Arabidopsis thaliana: one gene and its partners. The protein of the gene in region 1 interacts with the protein of each later gene in a pairwise test. Each region holds a gene or a part of one and is shown on either strand. Other genes may lie near its edges.

Region 1 (3,939 bases):
ATGAAAGAGCTAGCGTGCTGCCATAAGATGACATATCAAAAATTGTACACGAACACTGTAACTCTTGAAAATAGGAATTTTCGTAATGGCTAAGTATCAAAATTAATATATGCTGACAAAAAACGAGAATATAATCCACAAATATTTCTAATTGCATACAAACAAACTCCATGAGATATACTTCAATTTAGTTCAAACTTCCAAAAACCATCATAAAATATTCCATTTTGTATAATCTCTTTTTCTGTTTTTTGTCAAAAGTATAATCTTTTTTTATTCTATTTGATATCCGAAAAAAGCAAAACTTGATTCTAGAAGTATTTTGTGGTTCCACAATTTATTATGTTTTTATTTATTTTAGCGTTCCACAATATAATATGTATTTTCGTTAGAATCATATAACCTCGTTTTAGTCTGACAATCATACAACCTCATTTTGAAAAAAAATCATATAATAAAAACTTGTTAAAAACCTATTATAAATAATTATACACAGCCAAAAAAACATTGTCACACCATACTCGAAACTCGAAAGCCTTCACCACAAAATACGTTTTAAGATGATAAGATTGAGACTTATATATCATTATCAATATGGATTAATAATATGTCTTTTTCGCAAATTGTTAAGGCATTTAATTGTCGATCCATAGACAAATAGGGGTGTGCGACTATAAAATGTATATTAAATTACATGTTGACAAACAAACAAGTATGTATATTAAATGCTTTCTTATTACTATTTTGGTTTCGTTTTTAATTCTGTTTGAATAAAATCGAGATTCCAAAATGAATTTACGGCAACAAAAAAAACACGTTTGTTCAACTTTTCTGTAACATATGGGATTGTTTGATTTTCATCGCATACCAAACAAAGTTTTTTTAAGGGGGCGTTGGCGATTGATTTTTACAATTTACTTTTTTCTACTGCATATTGATTTTTTTCTCCAGTTTTCATGAGTTGAAATATCTCCGAAATGCCAAAAAAAATAGCCCGAATAAAAAAAAAAGGTCGTTTTTGTTTATAAGCACTTAATTTGATTTTCTCTTTAGGTCTTATTTCTCGAGTTGAAAATCGTCCTAATGAAAGGGAAAGTTAAATCACCTCACATTATCTAAGACCATATATCTAATTATATCGGGCCGTCGGTTAAGTCATCGCATATTAAGATATACAAATCTCCACTAATTATCCATAACAAAGAGATCAGATATATGAATGATTATATAGACTGATTCCATAAAAGATATTAATCAATAACTAGTTAGTTGGAGAGCGACGTGATCACAACATGGTATCACCATGATGCAAGTATACATCACCAACTGCTTAAATTATTAATCACATTTACGACAATATCATTGTATAATTGCGTTGACCTACAATGGTAATACCACATCAAGGTCTTGTTAAAGTTGACTCATTAGAGATAAGTTTGATCTCGTATTGATTTTAGTCATTTTTACGAAAGATATGTGGAGCTTCGGTTCTACAAATCTTAAATTTTAATACAGAAATGTCCATATATATAAAACCTCAATGATCTAACTCGTAGACTCGATCAAACTTTTTTTTTTTTGTTAAAGGACTTAATCAAACTTGGGATATCAAATTAGCATGACATAAATGATCATAAACCACTTCCTAAACATGATGATTTATCCGACTAATTTGTTTCGTTTATAAAACATAAATTTTACCATCACAATTCGCAACAATTCACTTTTGGATTATATATATCTCTTCATAAGAGATTTGCTTGGTTGATATAATATAATTTATCAATAGTAGTGCCTTTTGTACGATCTGAAAAGTCAACCATCTTTGTAGGCATTAAGCAAAGCAAACCGTCCCCTAAATTAATGTATCACACGTTCTTATAATATCATCTCCTATGATCTTACCATCACTTTTTTTGGTTTCTTTCGCGAAGCCAAAAAAAAACAAGACAAAAAGAAATAAACGACGAGGCTTTTGTTTATTTTATAAAGCTCCTTCACCGGTAAAAGCCTTGGTCCTCATGAAACCGGGAAGCCCAAGTACTTACTTCCACCATCAAATCGTCAAACCATTTGCAACCATCGATGGTGGTCATGTCACGAGTAAGCTTCTACTCTTCTTTCTTGCTACTACTGTTAGAGGTCGTTGTCGCTAGCAGCGAGTTTGATGATGAAGGAAGAACATCGTTCAGTCCAACCACGGCTATAATCATGATCGTACTCGTTAGTGTTTTCTTCGCACTTGGATGTATCTCCGTCTACATGAGGAGGTGTCTCCAGCACGCTCTGGGGATGGACAGCGGTGGTGGTCCAGGAAACTGGCTTAACGTGAGGCAAACGACGGAGCCTGGGCTAGACGCGTCTGTTATAGAAACGTTTCCAACGTTTCCTTACTCTACAGTGAAGACGTTGAGGATCGGTAAAGAAGCTTTGGAGTGTCCCGTTTGTCTCAACGAGTTCGAGGACGACGAAACGCTGCGTTTGATTCCTCAGTGTTGTCACGTGTTTCATCCTGGTTGCATTGATGCCTGGCTCCGTTCTCAGACCACATGTCCTCTTTGCCGAGCCAATCTCGTTCCTGTACCGGGTGAGTCTGTTTCTTCGGAGATACCCGGTTTAGCTAGAGAAACCGGTCAGAACTCTCTCAGAACGCCGATTGATGATAACCGGAAAAGGGTTTTAACTTCACCTGACGAGCGGTTGATTGACTCAGTGGCTTGGACGGGTAACCAAAGCATGCCACGTAAATCCATGTCTACAGGTTGGAAACTAGCTGAATTGTACAGCCCGGCTAGTTCACCGGGCCAACCGGAGGAGAATCTCGACCGGTATACGCTGAGGTTACCACAAGAGATACATGACCAGCTTGTGAACTCCAGCCTGGGAAAGCAAGGGTCAAAAGGCCAACTGGCCTTACCTCAAGAAAGGAGCTCGGTTAGAGGGTTCAGAACCGGAAGCCTAGGGACTGAAAAGAACTATTTCTACTTTGAACGGTTTGATCAAGACGGTCGGTTGGACCGGAGACCATTTTCTATAACTCCTCCATACCATACCCGGTCGATACAGTCTCCGGATGAGATTATCAACGCTAGTGGTAATTATCAGGATCGTGCTGGTGCACCTAAAGGTTTGCTTCTAGCAATAAGGTCACCGTTTGATCGGTTATTTACTGGGAAGAAAAATGCCGGTGAGCGTTCGTACCTTCAATCCGGCGATGCGAGCCCTGTCTAGGCGAATTACTACTATTGGGGTTATTAAGAATATTCTGAAATAAAGAAAATCTGTATATGTATTTTCTTTCTTCTAGTTTCTTTATGTTATATGAGAAATTCAATTCCTTCACCAATATAATGCATCTGTTACTGAAATAGTAATAAAGGAAAGGACCATTTCGTTTTATCATCCAAATCAAGTTTCCTAAGTCTAACAGTCAAAAAGATAGGGTCAAACAAGTAAACCATGGTACTTCAACTGTGATGATTAATGATGTGAAAACTTCAAAGAGGTTCACGAACCACCATGACGGGAATAGAGAACGGATCGGTAGAGAGCAGCGACATGGAGGAAACAAATCAGGGCTATGAGAAGATCATCTAGTAAACCGATAACCCCCAAGACTCCTGACAAGAAATCGATACAAAGTATTGGTCAGTAATATGTTGATAGAAGAGAAGAGTGTGTGTATTGTATGAATATACTGAAGAGATGAAATGAGGATTACCTTCCGGAATGATATCTATTGGGCTGATTATGTAAATCGCACTGAGTATCAACTGCATCAAATAAAAAGCAGTGAATTTTGTGTTAGTCAGAGCATTCTTTAGTTCAGATGTGATCAAGTGCTCAAAGTTGTGAACATTTAATCACAGAAGATTTACTTAATAAGGGTCCAGAAGTAATGAATGTGTTAAACTAACCGCAATATAAACACGAGCTCTG
Region 2 (6,166 bases), on another chromosome or scaffold:
AAGTAAATCTGTTACAATTAGGGTCCAAATTTTTATTAAAAAATAAAATATAGGAAATGATGACCAATTCTTTTTTTTAGCACATGATTTTTAATTATTTTGAGCCAGCCCTAAGTAAAAAACGTATAGGCTTTTGTCGACGATTATGTTATAAACTTATAACTAGATAAGAACTCGCATCTAGTGTGGGATGAAACGATTAAAATAAATTATTTGATAAAATTATTGATATTTAATATTTGTCTGTATATAATAAAACATGTAATTAATGTTTTTATTTTATTTTAATTTATGTTTGTTTTGTGTAAAAATACGTTTCACCCGTGATTGTTAAAGCTCTAATTCTTGAGTGGGTCGGAACTTGGTTTAATTTGCAACATAATACAAACATCGATATATCAGATCTTTTTTAGTTTGTGTTATAGTGTGCTCAGTGGGGCGGCTGTTGTACGGATAGATTTGAAAGGATTCTTTGTTATGATTCCAACGTTTTTGCAATCACTAGAGAAAACCAATGAGATTGTAAAAGAAAAACGGAAACAAAACAAAACAAAAGAGAAGAAAGCTAGAGAACAAAAAAATGATATTCACTAGACATGGTTTCGACGAAGAAACTGGAAACCAGCCATCAAACAAATACAACAAAGATGATCTGAGCTTAGTCGAGAAAAAAGGATCCTGAATTGCTCGGATGATAAAATCAGACGTGGTTGGGATTTCTCTCTAAAATGTTCTCATCATTTAATTTGGCCATTTGGATATGATTTAAATCCTAATTTCTAGCTTTAGTTTCTTGTTTTTTTTTTTAAATTAATCAAGCACAATAAAAACCTTAGACTTAGAACCCTCCATTTTTTTTCCAACAATTTTGAAAACTATATAAGTTCATTATTTTTATCTCTATATATATATATAAGCTTAAGAAAATGTACGTATAATTATGTTTGTTCAAATGTTCATCCAGAATATTTTACGATGTCATATTGGTTTTGTTTTGTTATCATGTTGTGAAGTAAGTAATCATTTTTTTTATTGTCATTTCCGTTCTTGTATTAAAAATTATATATTGATGTGGTTGTTAAACCGAAAAAGAAGGTGAATTTGGTAGATCGCAATATTTATTGATGAAATTAAGAAAATATCAATAATATGATTTGGGTTCATTACATAGTTTTTTTTTTTACATGTGTAACCCCTTCTCACGGCCACGGTGAAATTTTCATAATATACACAAAAAGGGCAACAAATAAGAAATTTTCATTACATAGTATATTCCTTAATTTTGTTTTTATTCTCATTTAGTTTTTACTAGAAACATTAAAATGAACTTATATTTGTAACGTGCTATTTTGTTTTCTGAACTATCAAATGAACGTCTAACAAAATCAAACTCAAAAACTTATAATTTATAACTCTAATTTCCATTTAATAAATAATATACCCACTAAATTAAAAGTTAAAAGTTAACTAGTAAAATCGACTATAATTGCAGAAAATTAGAAACTGTTTTATCCTTTCTTTACATTGTCGGTTTTCACCGTCCAATACTCCAATCCATTTTTAGTTTACTAACTAAAATTTTTTTATTTTAATTTACTTATCAAGTTTACCCAAGAATAATATTAAGTCTTACCAAGTCAAGACAGGGCAGTACGTATGAAGTGGGACTTGGGATTTAATGTCACATTTAAAGCTTAAACGTCAGTGTTTACTAGAAACTTTGACAAGTTCTTGATTGCAACACAACAATGATTGCGACAATATTAATAGATATATAGTTATATTTTCCACCACATATCTAATTCTTCATCTTCTCAACTAAACAAATCAGTCACCGGGAAAAATATAAAGAGATGACGGATAAAGAAGAAAGCAACCACTCCTCGGAGGTTGGCGCCGTCCGATCCCTCCAAGAAACTCCCACTTGGGCTCTGGCCACCGTTTGTTTCTTCTTCATCGCTGTTTCCATTTGCCTCGAGCGTCTCATCAATCTTCTATCCACTGTAAGTACAAATATGTATATTATAGGATCATATATACTTTCTTCTATACACTGTTTAAATTTTGACTAATCTCTTTAAGTTTTTTTTATAAATTTTTTGTTCTTGGAAAAGTAGAGTTTGGTTTACACTTGCAAGAATTTAAATTGGATATATTTATATTTTATTAAATTAGATATATAGGTGAAGTAGTAAATATGTATGTTAATAAAAATGTATTTTAATATTTTAACCATTTTCGAAAAATATCAGCTAGATAACATGAGTTGAAATTTCAACAAAAAATAAAAAGCGAGTCGAAAGTTCAAGACAAAACTGTATTATATATATATTGTCTCTTTTCTTGCAGAGACTTAAGAAAAATAGAAAAACGTCGCTACTTGAAGCTGTAGAGAAGCTCAAATCAGGTAAAAAACTGTCCCATTCGTAGAAAAGTTCATTGGTCATCAATCTTTGTTTAATTTAAAAAGCTCAAACATCTTATAGTAAAAAAAAATCCTAAATTTTTGGATATGAAAATCAATTGAAATATCTCTTCCAATTTTATTAATCTCTGAATTTTTAATGTTCTGTAAGGGCAGTTCTAATGGTGCTAGGATTCATGTCACTAATGCTAAATGTAACTGAAGGAGAAGTTTCGAAGATATGCATTCCTATAAAGTATGCCAATCGAATGTTGCCATGCCGTAAAACCATAAAATCACATAATGATGTTAGTGAAGATGATGATGATGATGATGGTGATAATCATGACAACAGCTTCTTTCATCAATGCTCTTCCAAGGTTCTTTTTGACCCTTTGATCTTTAATTAAAATCATTTTACAGTTTTATTTTCATTTATCTTTAAATCCAAGGTGGACATATATATAATGTATAAAAGTAGTATACAAAGGTTTTAACTTAGAAAAACAAAAGTTTTGATGACCAGTGAAACTGTAGATAGAAATTATGCAGCAATTTTGTTTTCTTAATCAATCACACAATTTAGTTTTTGATTTATGAATTTTCGTTAAATGATTTTCCAGTTTTCATAACCTTTTATTGCTTACTATTCTACAATATGATTATTTAAATAAGAGATTTAATCATATACATTTTTATATGCTTAACTTATGAAACTTCTGAATCCAAAAGTTTTAAGATATCTTCTTGAAATCCAAGATGGAGGGAGAGAGGACCGCAAAATCCAAAAATGTCAACTAGTTTACTTTGACGTTGACTTGGAGTCTTGGACATTGTCGTTAGCTAGAGTCCACTAATCAAGAAAATTACGTCCAAATAAAAAAGAAAACAAAAAAAAAATTGTTGAGTTATGAACAAAATATCAAGAGTATGACTTTTTCTTTGCTTACTAAAGTAAATTTTATTTCGAAGTAACTAATCCGATTTAATAAAATAAAATTTGCAGGGTAAGACTTCACTAATATCAGAAGAAGGGTTGACTCAGTTGAGTTACTTCTTCTTTGTGTTGGCATGCATGCATATTCTCTGCAATCTTGCTATTCTTCTCCTTGGAATGGCCAAGGTACTACATATATACACTATGCAATCAAATATTATAACATTACAATTGTTTAATAAAGACTTCAATAATTTGTGACATGGTTTTTTACTATTGTTTACATACAAAGTTTTTTGTGTACGTAATACATATAGATGAGAAAATGGAATTCGTGGGAGAAAGAGACCCAAACAGTGGAGTATCTAGCAGCAAACGGTAAGATTTTTGTATTTTTCTACTACGAAATTACATGCAATGTCAATTATTTCTTAGTCGATAAGTTAATTAATATTTTATGAAAATTTAAAGATCCGAATAGGTTTAGAATAACAAGAGATACAACATTTGCTCGACGACACCTGAGTTCATGGACTGAAACATCATTTCAACTTTGGATTGTAAGTTCGTACCTATTATTAATCTTTAATTAATTTGTTAATTAACATTTATCTCAAATATATAGGTTTAACTATATTAATAATTAAGTTTTTTTCTTCTTAGAAATGTTTCTTCAGGCAATTTTACAACTCAGTGGCGAAAGTAGATTACCTCACACTTCGGCATGGGTTCATCTTTGTTAGTACCTCATTTTTTGTCAATGAATAATTATTTAAAAATAAATAAATTTTAAATTTAATGTGTTATTTTGATTATTGATGCAGGCTCATGTATCGTCAAATAATGCTTTCAACTTCCAAAACTATATACAGAGATCTTTACATGAAGATTTTAAAACTGTGGTTGGTATAAGGTAGTCATATTTGTGTATTTTACATGAATCTTAAGTAACAAAGTTAAATCAAATAAACTTTTTAATTTTGTTACAGTCCTTTAATGTGGCTAACTGTGGTCATCTTTATGCTCCTCGACGTTTCTGGTAACTTAATTTATATATTTGTTAGCTTAAATAGTTAAATTAAAATAATTATTAGTGATTACTCGTTTTTATCTTATCTTCTTCTTTTTTTCTTAATCATCAGGTTGGAGAGTATATTTTTATATGTCATTTGTGCCACTCATTGTAAGAGCTAATTTAATCTAGTTAAGACTAATTAACTATATGTGTAACTCAAATTATTGACGAACTAATATTGTTACGTAGATAGTTTTAGTGATCGGGACGAAACTAGAGATGATAGTAGCGAAAATGGCGGTCACAATTAAGGAGAATAACAGTGTAATTAGAGGAACCCCTCTCGTTGAGTCAAACGACACGCATTTCTGGTTTTCCAATCCTCGTTTTCTCTTAAGCATTCTACACTACACGCTGTTTCTGGTAATCTTTTATAAACTACATGTCGTTTTTCCTAATGCTTCATCATAATGCCAACATTAATTTTTCTAATACAGAACACCTTCGAGATGGCATTTATTGTGTGGATCACTGTAAGTTCTAATTTCTTATAGGGATTTTAATATTTGGATTTATAAGAAAGGGAAAAATAATATAGGAAATTGTTATATGTGATGTATCTATAATTTTAATTATGAAATTAGTGGCAATTTGGGATTAACTCTTGCTACCATGATAACCAAGGGATCATAATCACACGACTTGTATTAGCGTAAGCACTACAATTTATTTATTTTATCCCACAAATTATTTACATTTTCGAAATTATATTTTTGTATTAAAAATCATATCGTTAATATTAAGGATATTATGATTTATAGGGTGACAGTCCAGTTCTTGAGCAGCTACATTACATTGCCTCTTTATGCCATTGTAACTCAGGTAATTTAGTCCAATATATATAACACCATTTTTAAATTAAATCGTTTTGCATTAGTATATAAATTATTACTGTTAGTGTAACCTAGTGATCTGAATTTGATTTGGATGCATATATATATGTGTTTAGATGGGGTCAAGCTACAAGAGAGCAATCTTAGAAGAACAACTAGCAAATGTGTTAAGGCACTGGCAAGGGATGGTTAGAGACAAGAAAAAGACTATCCAAACGCCAGACACCGACAACAACAGTAACAATAACAATGGTGATATTGATTCTGGAGAAAGTCCGGTTCAGACAGAAGTTGCTTCTGAGTTTAGATTTTCGGGTAGACAATCGCCGATTTTACAAGAGATACAGATACAAGAGAAAACTGAAAGGTGATCAGATTGATGGAAAATGAGAAAGAGATTGTTGGTATTATTGTTAAGAACTTTTTAGAGTTGCCTTTACTAATTATTGACGAATCAAATGACAAAATAGTAAGTTTAACCAGAAGTGTCAGTGTTAGATTGGCATGCTGGTATCGTGATAACATGTCACACATAATGTGACTAATAATTGATATGGTTTCTAGAGGATTGCTTGAAGCTATTTTTCTTATTGTGAGGTTATTAAGGACACTGTGAATTATATATACGTGTACAGAATGAAAATGTCGCATTGGCAATGCAGAAAACAGACTTATCTCTATTCTTCTTTGAAAAGCTCGCGACCGATGACAATCCTTCTGATCTCGCTTGTCCCTGCACCGATTTCATATAGCTTTGCATCTCTTAGAAGGCGTCCTGTTGCATATTCGTTTATGTATCCATTTCCGCCTAAACATTGTATCGCCTGCAACATCAAACCAAATCTTTTAGTCTTAAAGGAAAGGTAACTAGGTGATCAATATGTGTAGTTATGATCCCTTCGGAGGTTTGCTTTGCT
Region 3 (8,008 bases), 1.9 Mb from region 1:
CTTGTTAATCACGTTTTAGTGGCTAAATTTTAAATGCTTCTTCCCATGTGTTTCCATGTTATATATCTTTAGTCACTATAAAATGGTGAAACACAAACAAAACGTGAAAACGCTAGTAAACAATCATGGTTATGAATATTTAGTTACCGTAACATTGAAAATCAAATCTAAACGCAAAATAAACAATCGTAGCCATAATTTGAAATAGTCTAACAGTTGATATTAAACTTTTTACGGATTTAAAAGACTGGTTTCTTCGTCGGTTTGGAAAAGATCTTCAGTTTTCCTAACAGCTGCATGAGACAACACAGCCAAGGCACCTGCCACGATGGCCACCGCGATATTGAGCTTCGCATCAGTTAAAAAAAGGATGGAAAGAGTGATAACAGACATGATTATAAGTACGATACGGTGGTCAATCTCGCGGTCAAAAACAGTGAGCGGTTCATCACGGAGGAAGTAGAGGAAGAGCCATGCACCGAGTAGGGCGAGTAGAACTAAGAGGGAGAAGGGATTCCAAATCAGGCTGAGAAATACGGAGAAGAGGACGACAATGGTGTAATTGGTCTGGAAATAGACCGTGTTGGCTCTGATTCTAGTGATCACGGTGGCTAGTTTGCGGGGGAAGTTGAAGGAACCGAGGTCTAGCATTTGCTTCCAAGGGCGGCGCGTGGCGAGGCCGGATCTTTTGTGTTGGTTGATGCCACGGGTGATGTACTCCAGCTTGGGGGCTAAGTCGTTAGACGACTTCTGATTGGTGCCATATGTTGTCATATTGTTTTTCTCCTTCGTGATATGGGAGAGAGATTAATTATTTTTGCTATAAGTGTGATGTGTTTGTGGTATGTGAAGAGAAAAGCATTACATGACTGAGAGGTTTTATAGAGTTTTGTATTTGCTATAACAAAAAAAAAAATTTGAACATCTTGTATAGTATATAAAAATGTGAAATATGGGATAACATTGAAAATACCTAAAATTACGGGACACACTTTTGAATCCAATTGTTCAGAATCAGAACACATCCACATGAGTCATGAGTCATGACTGACTTTAATTTAGATTTCATTTCCAAACTAATGTTTCACTTCTTCGCACTCGTTTTTTAATTTTCAAACTGATTGTGTTATTCACGTCGCACATGTTATTGCCATTTTTGTTTATCATTTGTAAAATGTATTGGATTGGCTTGCTAATCGATATTGATGTTCTTATCTATAAGATAAAACGTGAGGGAATTAACAGAGTCATAAAAACGACGTGAGAAAAAACCACAATATACAGTATATAAGAATAAGTGTGTCTAGAGTTACAAAACGACGAGGTGAAAGGGGCCAACGGGAGGAAGAACAGGCCACGTTGGCGTTGTCTAAATTTAAAACTGAAAAGAGGTGACACCAATGAGAAGGTGCCAGATGGGAACTGTAATAAGAAGAGAACGAGGAGAAAACTGCAAAACTCATGAAAGGCCAGACCAGAAAGAGATGAGACTTGCCTGCCCAAGTTATTTTTTCTTGCAATTATTGAAAAAATGAACATGGCTCTCCTTTAAGCCCACCACTCCAACTTGGAAACCTTGAATTCTGAATCTTTTTATTATTAACCAATAAATAATACATATATGAGTCATATATGTACTAAAAATGATAAATCTCATTCAGTGTATGATACATACAAATCTTTGTAGAAAGGTATAGGCTCTTGATAAGTAATTGTATGGATTATGATGTTTGGTTTCAGATGTGAGTGTATGAAAACTGGCCGTAAGGTCAGGAGATTTATCATATTTAGTTCAATTATTTTACATGTAGTCATTCTACATTAGCACCTGCGTATCGCTCTTGAATTTTACCATTTTAGTACTCTTGTATAGCGTAAGCTAAGTTTTGGGTAGAGATGACAAAAAAATAATAGGAAACCAGAAAAGGAAAGCGTTAAATATATTGGGCCTATTGCAAGGCCCATTCAATAACTAATAAACCGACGTGTACTAGTAACATCGTATCATCATCTTCTCCGTTATGACTTTGGGTTTTAATCTGCTCGGCCGCCGCTTTATTTTTCAGACCAAACCTACGAACTTCGTTTTGAGGCAGTTTTTTCTGACAGCTAAAATCTAAACTCCGTTGTCAACGCCGTCAAGCAAGCGACAAGGCTCAACATCTCCTATAATCTCTTTCTCTGCACCAGTTAACTTCCCTAAGATGGCTCCAAACGCTACTGGAGTCTTGAAGAGGCACAGGTCCCATGAGAAATTCGATAAGAAACGAGATACGAAGAAGCACAAACATGTTGAAAAGACGATTGTTTCCAATCCTTCAACAGGTTTGTTAGCTCTTCTTTGTTAATTGTGCAAGAGATTACAGATTGTGTGTCCAACAAATTAAGTGGTGCTCAATATTAAACTCTTTTTGTGTTATTTTATCGTTAGATTCACCTGAAGAATCCTCTATAGAGGCTGAATCGGAAGCAATGGTTTACAGAGAACCGACACAGTACCAAAATTTGCTGGTGTCTCTTGGTTCATCTAACAAGGTTGTTGCTGATATGAACAAAAGAAGGTATCTTTACAATGTCGTTTGTTTTAACAAGTTCAAGTCTTCAGTTTTTGGTTTATTTGGAAGTCTTTGACTCTTTGTATGACTCGGAATTATGTCAATCATTTAGATTCGATATACTTGTTCCGATGTGGAACTAACTACTATGTCCTTTAAATCTTCAAATTTTATTCTTTTAAGATTGTGTTGATTATATGTAACAAGTTTCTTGGCATATATTGGTTGTGAGGGAGGTAGTGAATCTTCAAATCTTTTTTACAGGCAGAGAGAGGAAGAAGGTAAAAGTGACACAGAAGAAGATGAGGACGATGAAGATGAGGATGAGGAGGAAAACAGTGGGTCTGACGATTTAAGCTCTACTGATGGGGAGGATGATAAGAGTCAAGGTTAGTTTTTCCTTATCTAGTTTTGCAAGTTATTACTAGTTTCTATTGTGCTTAGACTTAGCATACTCCTGTAAACTTCATTATTGGCTCTTAAGTATTCTTGCAATAGTTGCATCGTTGTTCAGCCTTTTGATTTCACCTATGCTTCTGTTTGTATATTTAAGGGGATGATCAGGAAACTCTCGGAGGTCTTACGGACGACACGCAGGAAGACAATGATAATCAGAGTGAGGAAGAAGATCCTGACGACTATGAAACGGATGAGGAGGTGCATGAGTTGAGTACCAATGGCCAATCCTTTGTAGATGCTTCTTCATCTATTAGGTAAATTTGATTCAGATGGTGGTGTCTGCAAACATTTATTTACAGTTTGATGTGCTCGTTTATCCAATACAACTCTTTTATTCACACATTTATTGTTCAGTGCATTTAGTGAGCACCTTAGCCACAAATTATCCAGTGAAGAAGTGGAAACTTTACCAAAAGGCAAGTGGAAGTTTAAATGGGAATCACCTGCCTTTGACATGCCAAATTGCAAATGGAAAGGAACGAGTGAAAATTTTCTTGATGTATGTGTTCTGTAACCTTTCCTCAGAAAATATGGTCGCGAAGTCTGCCTCCAAACCTAGTAGTTTACCAGTAGCACCATTTGTTTATATTTTGCAGGGTATTCAGAGTGATGCACCTTACGGCCTCAAGCCGAAGTTATATAATCACTGGCTGCAATTGTACAAAAAATGTGGAGGCAAAGATTTGGACTCATCTAAGAGGAGAAAATTCTTCTCTATTTGTACGTATTAGATTCCGGGATTTTCCTATCTCTGGATTCTTTCTACTTTATATCATTCATGTTTCTTTCATGGCTCTGTGTTGATCATTGTATTTTGATACTGCAGGCAACAGCTATCTGGATATATTGCATTCTAACAAGAAACCCTTTTACCATTGTGGCTCTGACGAAGACTCAAGTGCCATGGATGCGTACCTTATGCATTCTGTGTGTACACACTTGTATTCCTTTTTCTAAGACAATTTATGAGTTTTTCATTAGACTCCGCATATCTTCAGGATTTATTGAAGTCCGTTTGTCTTATGCAGTTGAATCACATCTTTAAAACTAGAGATCTAGTGAAGAAGAATGAAAGTAAAATCGCCAAGCATCGAGAGACCTCCGAAGAAGAAATTCTTTCTGATGATGGATTTCTGGACCAAGGATTTACTCGTCCAAAGGTGACCCCTTCTGCTTTTCTTCTGCAAATATTTTATGTGTTTAAATATGTTGTTGCTCGCATTTGAGTTTGACAGTCGGTCTTACGTGTATTGTAATTCCAGGTCCTGATTCTATTACCATTGAGGAGCATTGCCTTTCGCGTTGTTAAGAGGCTCATACAACTAACTCCGGAATCTCAAAGGGTATATAAATTTATGAAATTCGTTCATCAATTTTTCAATTGGAAAATGCTTTGTGACTGTGTTGCCTCTACTCTACATCTCGTGGATGAGAAAATTCTCTAGTTTGATTGTTAGTGATGTTGAAAGAATTTTCTGCATTGATATTGTCTATGTTGCTAATGCCTTGAGTTGCCTATGCCATCTTCAATATCCTTCATTGGTTTCAGGTTAATGTAGAACACCTTGACCGGTTTAATGATGAGTTTGGATGTGAAGAGGATACTGATGACTGTGATGGTGAAAAGACTACATCGAAAAATGGAAACTCAATCAAACAAAAGTCTTCAAAACCTTCTGACTGGCAAGCCCTTTTTGGTGCGAATAACAACGATGATGAGTTTATGTTAGGCATTAAACATACAAGGTATATATAAGCCTACATACTCTTTAGATTTGAAGTGCATGCTTTCGGTTGGTATCTAATTTGGTCGTTGTGCTGAGACTTGAATCCTCTTGTCAATTTCAGGAAGAGTATTAGGCTATATGGTGATTTTTATTCCTCAGACATTATAGTTGCTTCCCCTCTCAAGTTACATATGGTAGGCAGCCTTGTCTATCCTTTCATAAGATGATTTAGTTATGCAAATCTTCTTGATTTGATCTCTAATCAACTTCGCTCTTGTTAGGCCATTGGTGCAGCAGAAGAAAACAAGGAACGGGATGTTGATTATCTTTCTTCCATAGAGGTACTTCTTTTATCATTGCTTGCAGAAGATATATTTAATAGATAGCTGATGGTTGATGCCAATAATGTTCAGTTACTTTAGTCTATTATTGCTTTATCTCTTAAACCTGGTTTATTACTGCATGTATTTTCAAATATTTGAGGTTGTATTCTGCATCTTCTTATTTTAGTTACTAATATTGTTTTTCATGTACATGTGGATAGGTTTTGGTTATCGATCATGCAGACATAATATCTATGCAGGTAGGTTGTGGGATGAGCTTATAGAATTTTCAAAGATAGATTTATGACTCCATTTCTTATATGTTCTATTATAATGTTTCAGAATTGGTCGTTCCTTGCTACAGTCGTTGACTACTTAAATAGATTGCCAACAAAACAACATGGAACCAATGTCATGCGAATTCGGCCGTTGTACGTAGTTCTGACTTTTAAGTTCTTTTCTCTAATATGTTTATCTGTCCAACAGCCCATCTATGCCAGAATTTCTAAGAAAAGTTCTTATGTTTAGGTATCTGGATGGACATGCAAGGTTTTATCGCCAGTCAATAATTCTAAGTTCTTATTTAACTCCGGGTATTGATCTGTCCATTTGTTATCACCTATGGTTTAATTCCTTTTGATCTTCGTTTTTCCTATATTTCCATAATCCTTATTTATGGTGGAGTTTCCAAACTTGTACTAACCCAGATAATATTTCGTTTCAGAGATGAATTCTCTATTCGGTCGCCACTGCTTGAACTATAAGGGAAAGGTGAGCATTCATAATGCAGCACATTATCCATTTATAGTAAATGGATTTCGGGCGTCTTTTTTGTTACTAGTGTATTGAGGGGATTATATGATTGATCTATTATGCGTGTTCCCCATACCAAGATTGTAAATTTAAAGTTAACTTGTCTTTCATATCTAGTTTGATGTTAAATTTGTACCGTAACACTTTTGGTTGAATCTATGCAGATGAAGATGGCGTGTGAATACAAGGGTGTTCTTGAGAAAGTGTTGCTCCCTGTCCGTCAGGTATGAAAGCTTATCTTTTTTACACAAGAAAAGTTTTAGACATCTTATCTCTCTGTCTGTGTTGCAGATTTATGAAAGATTTGATGCAGCCTCCATAACCCAAGTGGACGATGCACGTCTTGAATATTTTACCAAAAAGGTCATTTTTTTTTTTTTTTTGATGCTATGGTTTTGCAGTAATTAGATTTTCATGAATAAATTGCATTGTTGCATATCTTTGTTCGTATACCATTGAAAGTAGGGTCATAAGTCATTGCACATATTACACTTTTTAGGTGCTAAATAAAATAGTTACTGATTCCGTTCTTCTTTTCATTACAGATTTTCCCAAAGATTAAAGATTCTGTTCAGGTACTCCCATCATTCGAAGTCATTCAAAGTCTAAACTGTTTTGTTGACCATACTTCTAAGTTGCCATAACATACTGGACAATAACAAAGTTGGGCAGAACAAAGACCTTATTGTTATCACGTAAATTTGGGAGCTTGATTGTTCGTATTCCAATCATGCTTGTAGGGAGGAGTAATGATCTTTATCCATTCTTACTTCGAGTTCGTCAGGCTTAGAAACTTTTTGAATACGCAGAATACCTCTTTCTGTCTTCTTGGAGAGTAAGATCATTTTCTTCCTGTTTTGAAGTTGCTGCTTCTCTGTGTTATCTGGATTTCCTTTACCGGATATAGTTAATTGACTTCTGTTTTTCAGTTATGCAAAAAATGCAGATATATCCCGAGCAAGAGAACAGTTTTTTGTAGGGAGCCGAAAGATCATGCTTTACACTGAGAGAGCATACTTTTATAAGAGATACAAGGTTTTTTCTTCTTCTTAAATTCATCTTTGATCTTTTAGTAGGTTCTGTACTGTTCTGACCAATTTGGCTGATGTATGATGATGTTGCTTTCTCGGTTTCAGATCCGTGGTATAAAGAACTTAATCTTATATTCTCTTCCGGAGCGGAAGGAGTTTTACCCTGAGGTAAGTGCATCTTTAATCGAGAATTAAATACGACCCAACCCTAATCAGGAGAACGACAGTCGAGTCTCATCGTTCGATCTTTAACTGCAGATAATGAACATGCTTGAAGAAGGATCACATGACATGATGTCCACTGCACTTTTTTCTCGTTTTGATATGCTCCAGGTACTACTTACACATCTCTCGTTTTCAGTCTCCTGATGGTTCCTCATATATAGACAATTAGATTAGTTTAAAACTTAGCTCACTCGAACCAGGTACAAAGAGTAATGATAAATATATAAGTTGTAATGGCAAGTTTAGTAATGTGGACCAATGTGATGTTTTTTGCAGCTGGAAAGGATCGTTGGCTCTACTTCCGCAAAGAGAATGATCACTTCTGAGAAGAACATGTTTGCTTTCTGTTAAGAAACAAAATAGTCGATATCTATTTGTTTGGTGATCTTGATCGCCCAGTTTTGATTATGCTATTTTCTTTGTTCAGACTAACCGGTTCAATTCAAATTAAAATGAAACTCAAATTTAGAGAACAAATTAATTTAGTTTCATTTTCTTGAGTGCGAATATAACGTTTAGTTGTCATTTGCATTTTATAAGTATCAACTTCAGGATCCAAAACCAAATGTCAAACTTGAGAAGAAATTCAATTAAACTTCAGACGTCGACATCAAAAGGATGGATATGATCAATGGTCTAGCAGCAGATGACAAAATTTTCAATAATCTATCTTTCTCCTTCAAGGATTTGAAGAATGGCCTATCGGTTAATTTACTGAAAACCCGATTTGAAAATAAAAACCGAAAATGTCAGTTCGGTTTTCTCTCAAAGCGGTGTCGTAGTCTGTTGGCCTTTACACGAATTTTTTCATTTAGAGGATGATCTTGAAGTGGGTTGTGGACAAAGTTTCATCGATTTTATGGATAAGATTATTA

Evidence for each region. Proteins that work in one complex are often made in the same cells at the same time.
Region 2: the proteins of ATL15 (region 1) and MLO3 interact in a protein complementation assay, tested with the Arabidopsis thaliana proteins (one large-scale study listed by BioGRID).
Region 3: the proteins of ATL15 (region 1) and NOF1 interact in a protein complementation assay, tested with the Arabidopsis thaliana proteins (one large-scale study listed by BioGRID).

Annotation. Positions count from the first base shown.
Region 1 is NC_003070.9:7,947,496-7,951,434, forward strand, and holds ATL15 (RING/U-box superfamily protein), read left to right. Parts: upstream 1-1,980; 5' UTR 1,981-2,085; coding exon 2,086-3,231; 3' UTR 3,232-3,405; downstream 3,406-3,939. Other genes in the region: AT1G22510 (E3 ubiquitin-protein ligase RNF170-like protein (DUF 1232)), read right to left, coding at 3,508-3,620, 3,722-3,773, 3,918-3,939. UniProt on the Arabidopsis thaliana protein: E3 ubiquitin-protein ligase able to catalyze polyubiquitination with ubiquitin-conjugating enzyme E2 UBC8, UBC10, UBC11, UBC28 and UBC29 in vitro.
Region 2 is NC_003074.8:16,615,733-16,621,898, forward strand, and holds MLO3 (Seven transmembrane MLO family protein), read left to right. Parts: upstream 1-1,665; 5' UTR 1,666-1,853; coding exon 1,854-2,003; intron 2,004-2,349; coding exon 2,350-2,407; intron 2,408-2,581; coding exon 2,582-2,784; intron 2,785-3,410; coding exon 3,411-3,527; intron 3,528-3,658; coding exon 3,659-3,719; intron 3,720-3,812; coding exon 3,813-3,901; intron 3,902-4,004; coding exon 4,005-4,079; intron 4,080-4,165; coding exon 4,166-4,254; intron 4,255-4,330; coding exon 4,331-4,380; intron 4,381-4,483; coding exon 4,484-4,524; exon of another isoform or gene 4,525-4,605; coding exon 4,606-4,779; exon of another isoform or gene 4,780-4,805; intron 4,806-4,853; coding exon 4,854-4,889; intron 4,890-5,000; coding exon 5,001-5,068; intron 5,069-5,177; coding exon 5,178-5,238; intron 5,239-5,365; coding exon 5,366-5,620; 3' UTR 5,621-5,638; downstream 5,639-6,166. Other genes in the region: IVD (isovaleryl-CoA-dehydrogenase), read right to left, coding at 5,927-6,073.
Region 3 is NC_003070.9:6,082,354-6,090,361, reverse strand, and holds NOF1 (U3 small nucleolar RNA-associated protein), read left to right. Parts: upstream 1-1,980; 5' UTR 1,981-2,204; coding exon 2,205-2,325; intron 2,326-2,431; coding exon 2,432-2,561; intron 2,562-2,819; coding exon 2,820-2,944; intron 2,945-3,108; coding exon 3,109-3,268; intron 3,269-3,368; coding exon 3,369-3,513; intron 3,514-3,610; coding exon 3,611-3,734; intron 3,735-3,840; coding exon 3,841-3,941; intron 3,942-4,042; coding exon 4,043-4,174; intron 4,175-4,276; coding exon 4,277-4,357; intron 4,358-4,563; coding exon 4,564-4,760; intron 4,761-4,862; coding exon 4,863-4,935; intron 4,936-5,022; coding exon 5,023-5,082; intron 5,083-5,285; coding exon 5,286-5,324; intron 5,325-5,406; coding exon 5,407-5,495; intron 5,496-5,592; coding exon 5,593-5,657; intron 5,658-5,788; coding exon 5,789-5,835; intron 5,836-6,041; coding exon 6,042-6,101; intron 6,102-6,168; coding exon 6,169-6,240; intron 6,241-6,422; coding exon 6,423-6,452; intron 6,453-6,617; and 11 more. Other genes in the region: PRA1.F1 (prenylated RAB acceptor 1.F1), read right to left, coding at 232-774. UniProt on the Arabidopsis thaliana protein: DEAD-box RNA helicase-like protein required for pre-18S rRNA processing, specifically at sites A0, A1, and A2. Involved in the control of rRNA expression. Required for embryo development and female gametogenesis.